2 linked regions of the Cricetulus griseus genome follow. The protein of the gene in region 1 interacts with the protein of each later gene in a pairwise test. Links are inferred from orthologs where the notes say so. Each region holds a gene or a part of one and is shown in the gene's direction. Other genes may lie near its edges.

What was found.
Region 2: the proteins of Keap1 (region 1) and Etf1 interact in binary tests that used the Homo sapiens proteins (3 or more experiments, as listed by UniProt). The two-hybrid records come from large-scale screens. The link is inferred for Cricetulus griseus from reciprocal best matches to the Homo sapiens genes KEAP1 and ETF1.

Annotation. Positions count from the first base shown.
Region 1 is NC_048597.1:134,095,658-134,099,495, reverse strand, and holds the start of Keap1 (kelch-like ECH-associated protein 1), read left to right. Parts: upstream 1-994; 5' UTR 995-1,242; intron 1,243-1,379; exon of another isoform or gene 1,380-1,529; intron 1,530-1,567; exon of another isoform or gene 1,568-1,735; intron 1,736-1,751; exon of another isoform or gene 1,752-1,990; 5' UTR 1,991-2,186; intron 2,187-2,596; 5' UTR 2,597-2,643; coding exon 2,644-3,282; intron 3,283-3,838. UniProt on the Homo sapiens protein: Substrate-specific adapter of a BCR (BTB-CUL3-RBX1) E3 ubiquitin ligase complex that regulates the response to oxidative stress by targeting NFE2L2/NRF2 for ubiquitination.
Region 2 is NC_048595.1:202,567,518-202,571,426, forward strand, and holds the start of Etf1 (eukaryotic peptide chain release factor subunit 1), read left to right. Parts: upstream 1-1,020; 5' UTR 1,021-1,178; intron 1,179-1,338; 5' UTR 1,339-1,356; coding exon 1,357-1,442; intron 1,443-3,909. UniProt on the Homo sapiens protein: Component of the eRF1-eRF3-GTP ternary complex, a ternary complex that mediates translation termination in response to the termination codons. The eRF1-eRF3-GTP complex binds to a stop codon in the ribosomal A-site.

The DNA of each region.
Region 1 (3,838 bases):
AAGGCCAGCCAGTGACAGACAATGAGGCCCTGTCCCAAAAAGAAGTTACAGTGGCGCAGTAGCTAAGAATACTTGGCCCAGCTGGGCTGTGGTAGCGCAAGCCTTTAATCCCAGCACTCGGGAGGCAGAGGCAGGAGGATCTCTGTGGGTTCAAGACCAGCCTGGTCTGCAAAGTGAGTTCTAGGACAGCCAGAGCTACACAGAGAAACCCTGTCTCAAAAAACAAAAACAAACAAAAAACCAAAAATAAGAACAACAAAAAAATTGGGGGGCTGGAGAGATGTCTCACTGGTTAAGAACACTAGCTGGTCTACCAGAGGTCCTGAGTTCAATTCCCAGCAACCACATGGTGGCTCACAACCATCTATAATGAGATCTTGTGCCCTCTTCTGGTGTGCAAGCATGCATGCAGACAAGTGTATACATAATAAATAAATAAAATCTTAAAAAAAAGAAAAACAAAAGAAACAATGACATACTGCTCTTACAGAGGACTCAGGCTTGATTCCCGGATCCCGAATGCTCACACAACCTTGTGTAGACCCAGTTCCAGGGAATCCCATCCTCGGTGGGCACCAAGCATTCACGTGGCGTACATACATATACACATACAGGCAAAACGCTCATACATAAAATTAATAAATTTTTGTTTAAGTTATAAGGATGGAGAGATGGCTCAGCATTTGAGAGTACGTGCAGCTCTTGCAGAGGACCAGAGTTCAATTCCCCCACCCACACGGTGGCCCACAGCCACCTGTGACTTCAGAAGGCAATGCAGGAACACAGTACACAGACACCCAGGCTAAACACCCACCCATACACGCAAACTGAAATGCAAACATTATAAAGTTATCTTAAAAGATATACATATAGATAAAATCAACCAGGTAGATGGGTCCAGCCGGACCGTGTGGGTGTGGGATGTGGGAGGGCCGGAGGGTGCAGGAGGAGCCCCGACAGCCTAACCCGGAGGCAGGCTCCTAGGGCCGCCCAGACCCACGCCCTGCTCCCTCCGCCCGGCACCTGCAGGAAGGGCTGGAACCGCCTCTGCGTGCCCGCCGCTCGTTTCCGCCCTCCCGCTCCTCCCACGCGTGCTGCCCGCTAGCGACCCCGCAGCACCGCGGCCCCGATCCAAGGACCCCCGGGTCCCCTCGGCTCCTCCCGGAAGCGTGGCGCGTGGCGGCCCGGCGGCGCGGATTGGACGCGTGGCACCGACACAGACACCCGGGGGGTGGGACGGAGGTGAGCGAGCACCCGCGGAGATGCGATGGGGAGTCGGCTCCGAGTGCCGCCCGCGGCCGCGCGTGGGGGGCCGTGCACGCGGTGGGGGGAGCGCGTGCCCCCGGTGCGCACCCGGGCCGCCGAGCCCGCCCTCCCGCCGGCGTAGGTGGCGGCCGCGGCCGGCGAGTGAAGGGGAGGGGTCGCCCGCGGCCGGCGCCCCGGGACTCTTATTGTGACAGGGTGGCGCGCTGTGCTTAGTCACCGTGACCCGCGCGGCGGAGGCGGAGGCGGAGCGCGGCCATGGCGGGGTGAGTGCGCCGCTCCGGGCCGGGGCCCGGGATCAGGCCCTGCGGGCCCTCCAGGCGTCTGGGCTGCGCCTCCGAGCGAGCGGTGGGGAGGCCGCCGGAGCAGGCGCCGGGCACCGGGTCGTCGCTGCGCAGCCCCCTGCGCAATGCCAGGCCTGTGCTCCGGCAGTGTGGTCACGCGTGACAGTCGCTCACTTACTGGGGCCCTGGTGCGTTCCACCGCCCCCGGCACCCCCACCGTGGTGCTCTCATAGACATCCTAACACCGGGAGGGGGATGCGATTCCAGCCTGAGCCCCAAAACCCTCGCCCCACATCCCCGATTCAAAATATACCGCGTCCCCTGGCCCCAGCTCTCCAGGGGGCTCCTGGGTCCCTGTATAGCCCATGGTGGGCATTCCTGATGCCCACACTTTCTGCCCCAGAACCTTGGCACCCAGTGTTTCCTCTACACTGTATTTTCAGGCCTCCTCTCTCTTCCTGCTGTGTTCCTGGAGCTCTGAACAGTGCCTACTACATACTTGGCAGGCTCTGTAAATTTTGGTGAGGTGTTGAAGAAAGGAATTTGGCTTGTTGGAGGCAGGGAAGGGAAGGATGGCTGGGACAGTGAGCGAAGAGGTTGGAAAGGGGCTGACTTTGTGGGCCTTTGCAGGCCATTGAGGTAGGTTTCCATTCTTGGGCTTGTTGAAAGGTGTTGGGCGATTCTGAGCAGAAAGGGACATGATGTGATATGTTTCTTAGACGAGCCTTCAGGCGAGTGAGTTGGGACTAATTAGTTTGAATGGAGTCAGGATTATGCAGTTTACTTGGCTTGGCAAACTGTTCTAGAAACTTTTGCTTAATTTTTCTAAAGGAAGCCTGACTGGGCATGGCGGCACACACTGTAATCCCAGCACAGAGGAGGATCAGTAGTTCAAGAGCCCGCCTTAGTTAAATGGTGAATTTGAGGCTAACTTGGGCTCCCAAAGACCCTATCTCCAAAAAAAAAAAACAAAAAGGAAAGACAGAAAAGGAAGCGTTGCAAGGTCTGTCCTCACCTATTCCCAGCTCTGTACTCTTCCCTCCCTCCAGGACCCTAACTGCTAGTGGTGGAATTGTAACTTGTCACCCGGAACCCCATGCAGCCAGAACCCAGGCCTAGCGGGGCTCCCCGCAGCAGCCAGTTCCTGCCCCTGTCGTCAAAGTGCCCCGAGGGGGCCGGGGACGCGGTGATGTACGCCTCCACGGAGTGCAAGGCCGAGGTGACGCCCTCCCAGGACGGCAACCGCACCTTCAGCTACACGCTAGAGGACCACACCAAGCAGGCTTTTGGCATCATGAATGAGCTTCGGCTGAGCCAGCAGCTCTGTGATGTGACCCTGCAGGTCAAATACGAGGACATCCCAGCTGCCCAATTCATGGCTCACAAGGTGGTGCTGGCCTCTTCCAGCCCTGTCTTTAAGGCCATGTTCACCAATGGGCTTCGGGAGCAGGGAATGGAGGTGGTGTCCATTGAAGGTATCCACCCTAAGGTCATGGAGAGGCTTATTGAGTTCGCCTACACGGCCTCCATCTCCGTGGGCGAGAAGTGTGTGCTGCACGTGATGAATGGTGCAGTCATGTATCAGATTGACAGTGTGGTCCGAGCCTGCAGCGACTTCCTCGTGCAGCAGCTGGACCCTAGCAATGCCATTGGCATTGCCAACTTCGCTGAGCAGATTGGCTGCACTGAGCTTCACCAGCGTGCCCGGGAGTATATCTACATGCACTTTGGGGAGGTGAGTCAGGGCTGGGGCCTGGGCTCAGCTGTCACCAGGAGTGAGACAGGCCAACATAGCCATCTCCCCTGGAGACTGGAACAGTCATTCAAGTTTGGAGGAAAGCTTCTGTTTGGTATTTTCTTTTTATTTCCTCCTTTTCCCCCATAGAGTCTCATGTAGCCCAGGCTGGCCCTAATCTGGTTATGTAGCCAAGGATGACTTTAAACTCCTGATTCATCTGCCTCTGTCTCTCTCTCTCTTTTTTTAAGATTTATTTATTATGTATACAGCATTCTGCTTCCATTCTGCCTCCATATATGCCTGCACGCCAGAAGAACGCATCAGATCTCATTAGAGATGGTTGTGAGCCACCATGTGGGTGCTGGGAATTGAACTCAGAACCTCTGGAAGAACAGCCAGTGCTCTTAACCTCTGAGCCATCTCTCCAGCCCCTCTGTCTCTTAAGTACTGGAATTACAGACATTCATAATCACAATTGACTTAAGTGGTACTGGGATGGAGCCCAGGGCTTTGTGCTTGAAAAGCCATCCCCAGGACTACTTTTTTTTTTTTT
Region 2 (3,909 bases), on another chromosome or scaffold:
TTACGGCTGTTAGGTGGCCGTGGCGCCAGCAAGCCAGCAATTGGTAGGTAGAAGCAAGCAGCCTCCTGTACAAAGTTCCAGGACAGCCAGGGTTACAGAGAAACCCTGTCTCGAAAAAATAAAAAAGTTCACGAACGGTTATAAACTCAACTGGATTGTGAACTCCATTAGGGTTATATTACTTACTCGGTTCACCTCTTTATCCAGAAAAACGTGATCTAGCACTTGCTCCGAGTTCAAATATTTGAATGCACACAAGTGAAGCGAAGGGAGAGACAATTGGAAAGCTTAACTCTTAACAGTTCCAACGTTTCCAACATTCTCCCCACCTCTACGCTAACAGTTAAAAAACAACAACACGCATGCTCTCAGATACTCTGGGTCTCCAACCTCAGGCAACCCTTTCACCCTTCAACCCCCAGAAGTCCCAGATCCAAAGAGAACCCGCAGTAGCTAGCAACGAAACGATAGGAAACCCTCCTGCGCAGCCGATCGGCTCCAGCCTCGGCGAAGTTCCTGATCCAATCCTAAAGGCCAGAATTCTGAACTTTTGTTCGCGAAGCCACGATGAGGTGTGGCGCACCGCATATGGTCAGCGATAAAGCTTTTCAAACAGCTTAGACCGCACGCACGTACATACGCGTCGGTCCGAGAAGCTAGACTCTGCGTGGCAGAGCTTCAGATGTCCATTCACGTTAATGGGGAAGAACGAAAGACAACGACCACTCTCTCGCGCCCTTTAAGAGCCACCCCCATTCCAGCCCGTAGAAGCTGAGAAAATGCTCGCGAGAGCCACCGGATTCACCCCGCTTCCTCCTCCAGGCTAGCCGGGCCGGAAGGAAGGCGGTACCTCCCGCTTCCTGGCCTATACCTCACAAGGCAGCACGACCGCACAAGCAGCCAATCAGCTCGCCTCTTGTAAGCAGAGTCGCGGAGAACCAATGGGAAGTCGCGGCGCGCGCAAAGCTTCTCTTCGTCGCACAGGCCCCCTCCCTTCCGCCCGCCGCCTTCCACTCCGCCCCTGGCGGAGGAAGTGAGATCAGAGGCCCCATGTGAGCGGATTGCAACACATGCAGCTGCCTGGAGAGAGGGAGCCGGTGTCCTACGTCAGAGCCGCCGCCGCCGCGGAGCCGCCGCCGGGGAGGAGCAGCCGCTACCGCCCAGGACTGGGCCCTTAGGTAAAGCGGGCGTAGGAAAGGCCGGCGCCCTATGCGGCGGGCTGTCGGGGCGGGGAGAAGAGGGCAGCTCGGGAGGTGGCGAAGAAGGGGGCCGCTCTGCCCCAGCGGCGGCGCTAACTCTGTGGTCTTGGTGTCTCCGGGCCCCGCCGGGCCGCTCTAGGGAGGAGGAGGCGAGAAGATGGCGGACGACCCCAGTGCTGCCGATAGGAACGTGGAGATCTGGAAGATCAAGAAGCTCATTAAGAGCTTGGAGGCGGCCCGCGGGTGAGCGCCGCGTCCGGCCCCCCCGAGCCCTCTTGGATCCCGGACCCCTCAGGATGGCCGCCCCCGCGCCGCATGGCCGGATGAGGAGAACCCGGCACTAGCCAACTCCCGCCTTCTGGACCTCTGGGTAGTAGCCTCTGACTGGAGGGCGAGGGTCGGCGCGGCTGGCCGGGAAAGAAGTCCTTCCCCCCCTTGGGGGTAAGGAGCCTGGTTCCCACGGCTCAGATCACTCGGCCCCCTCTCTGGAGAAAGCCACTGCTACTTTCGTAACCCTGTCGAGCCCTTAAATACAGCTCCTCACTTTTTGGGCTCTTGGTGCTGCCACCCGACTTGGATGCTGTTGGGGGAAGTACTTGGCGTTCCTTTCCGAACGTCCTACCCTGATTTTTCTCTCTTCCTCTCTCTTCACGTTCCTCAGACAGGCCTCATTAAAATGGCCTCCCCCACTTGGACTTACAAGTCCGGTGTGGGTGAAGTTTTGATGGTTGTAAAGAAGAGTTGGCCAAGAGAGATCTTCCTGGCTCACTTTTGTTTCTCTGGGTCTTAGACCTCTCCGAAGGTGACTTCCCCTAAGTTTTCTGAGTACCCTGGAGTTTCCTGGTTTTAGTTGCTCCAGGACTCGCCTATAAACCGAAAATACCAGCGTAAGCCGGATGGGGTGATGGTGGTTTTTGCTAACAAATCTGTTGTGTGCATATTCAAGTGAATTCCAGATAATGGGGGTGTTTGATAGTGTGTCCGTTTCTAGGTGAATAAGCGAGGTTGAAAGCAGCCATATGTTTTGTGTGAGAGTGTGCCAAAGGTATTTGTGTTTCTTCCATGTAGTTTGTTACTTTCCGAATTAATAAAAACTTTTTACTACTTGGGGTGTCCTCACCCTAAAAGTGGAACGTTATATATTCCTGCACTCCAGAGCATTTTTATAGGAGAGTGGCTTTCTTCCAGGTCATGTAAGGAAGTTAATTTCAGCACACAAATGAGACATTTTGTTTTTCAGCTCAAGTTTGTCACTGATGGGTAGCTTGATGGTGATATAGTGACCACCTTGGCACTAAGTTCATTCACTTTTTGAAATGGATTTGGCTTGATTCTAAAGTGCATGGTTTTAAAGCAGGATGCTTTTGCTTTGGTGTTTCATTGTTAATAAGTGAGCAGCACTAATTTCTGTTTGGGGTTAGACTTCTGAACGTTTGGCTCTATTTGGTGTTGTGTTCGTTCCTTTGATGTGTAGTATAAAAACTTGAGTTGAAGGTAGATGATTTTATTGTTATTATTTCTTAGGGTGTTTTTTTAATTTATTGGAATATAAAGACTTACTCATAGGAGCATGTACCATGTGGCAGAGTGAAAATAAATAATCCCAAATGTAAAAATACTGTATAGGAATGTTAATATAGGCCTGATTCATTATGATGCTAAGAATTAGCCGGGTACTATTGTTTCAGTAGGCTATCTTCTGTTGTTACTTAAAGCTTTCTGTGGGTTACTGACGTTTATGGATTACTGATGTTACACTGTTTCAAGTTGGACTGGAACCTGTAGGTTGTGTCTCAGTGCTTTCATTTTCATTTAGGCAGGTTCTTAGCTGAGCAGAGGTGGTGCTCGCCTTTAGTCCCAGGAGGCAGAGGCAGGCAGGGAGATCTGAGTTCGAGGCCAGCCTTGTCTACAGAGTTCCAGGAGAGGCTCCAAAGCTACACAGAAACCCTGTCTTGAAAAAACAAAAAAATAATTTGGATATAGTGTATTCTGTGAAGCAGTTAAAATATGAATTTATTAATTTGCTTATTTGAGTGACATTAACATTGGAGACAACACTTCTTAATAAGCTAATTTTCTTTCTCCTGGTTGATGAACAAACTAATTCTTAGATTTGTTCCGAGCCATAGTTCCTAACTACTTGAAAGTTTTAAGGCTCTCTTAAAAAGCCTTTGGAAACTTTACTTTCTAGTTTAGAAAAGTTCAGTAAAGTTTGAAGCATGCTGAACAGCATTTTAGACATGATTACTCTGTCCATAATAGCTAGGGACTCTTCTTCTAAACAAATAATGTGGTTTATAATCTTGTCCTACTTTGCTTAATAAGTTAGCCAGGACTTGGTTGCACCTTGAGCCCATGGAAATGTTAAGATCCTGTCCATCTCAGATGTTGGTCAGGGAGTGAAAAGTTTATTGTATGTGGCTCAGAACTGTCTTGGTAATCAGTTTCTTTTGGGAAATGACAAGATTTAATTTCCATTGCTAAGTTGTATTAGACTTTAAATTTTCATAGTGTTTTATGTGGCCCCTCCCCCAAAAAATGTTTTTGGTGGTTTTGGAAGCCAAGCTGGCCTCCAACTCATTATGTGGCTGACTGAAGCTGTTTTGACCTCCTGATCTGCTTCCAGGTGCTTCTGGGATTATAGGATGAGCTACTATGTCTGGCAATACTAAAATATTCTTAGTATAATTGTGATGGACCTTAAAGACAA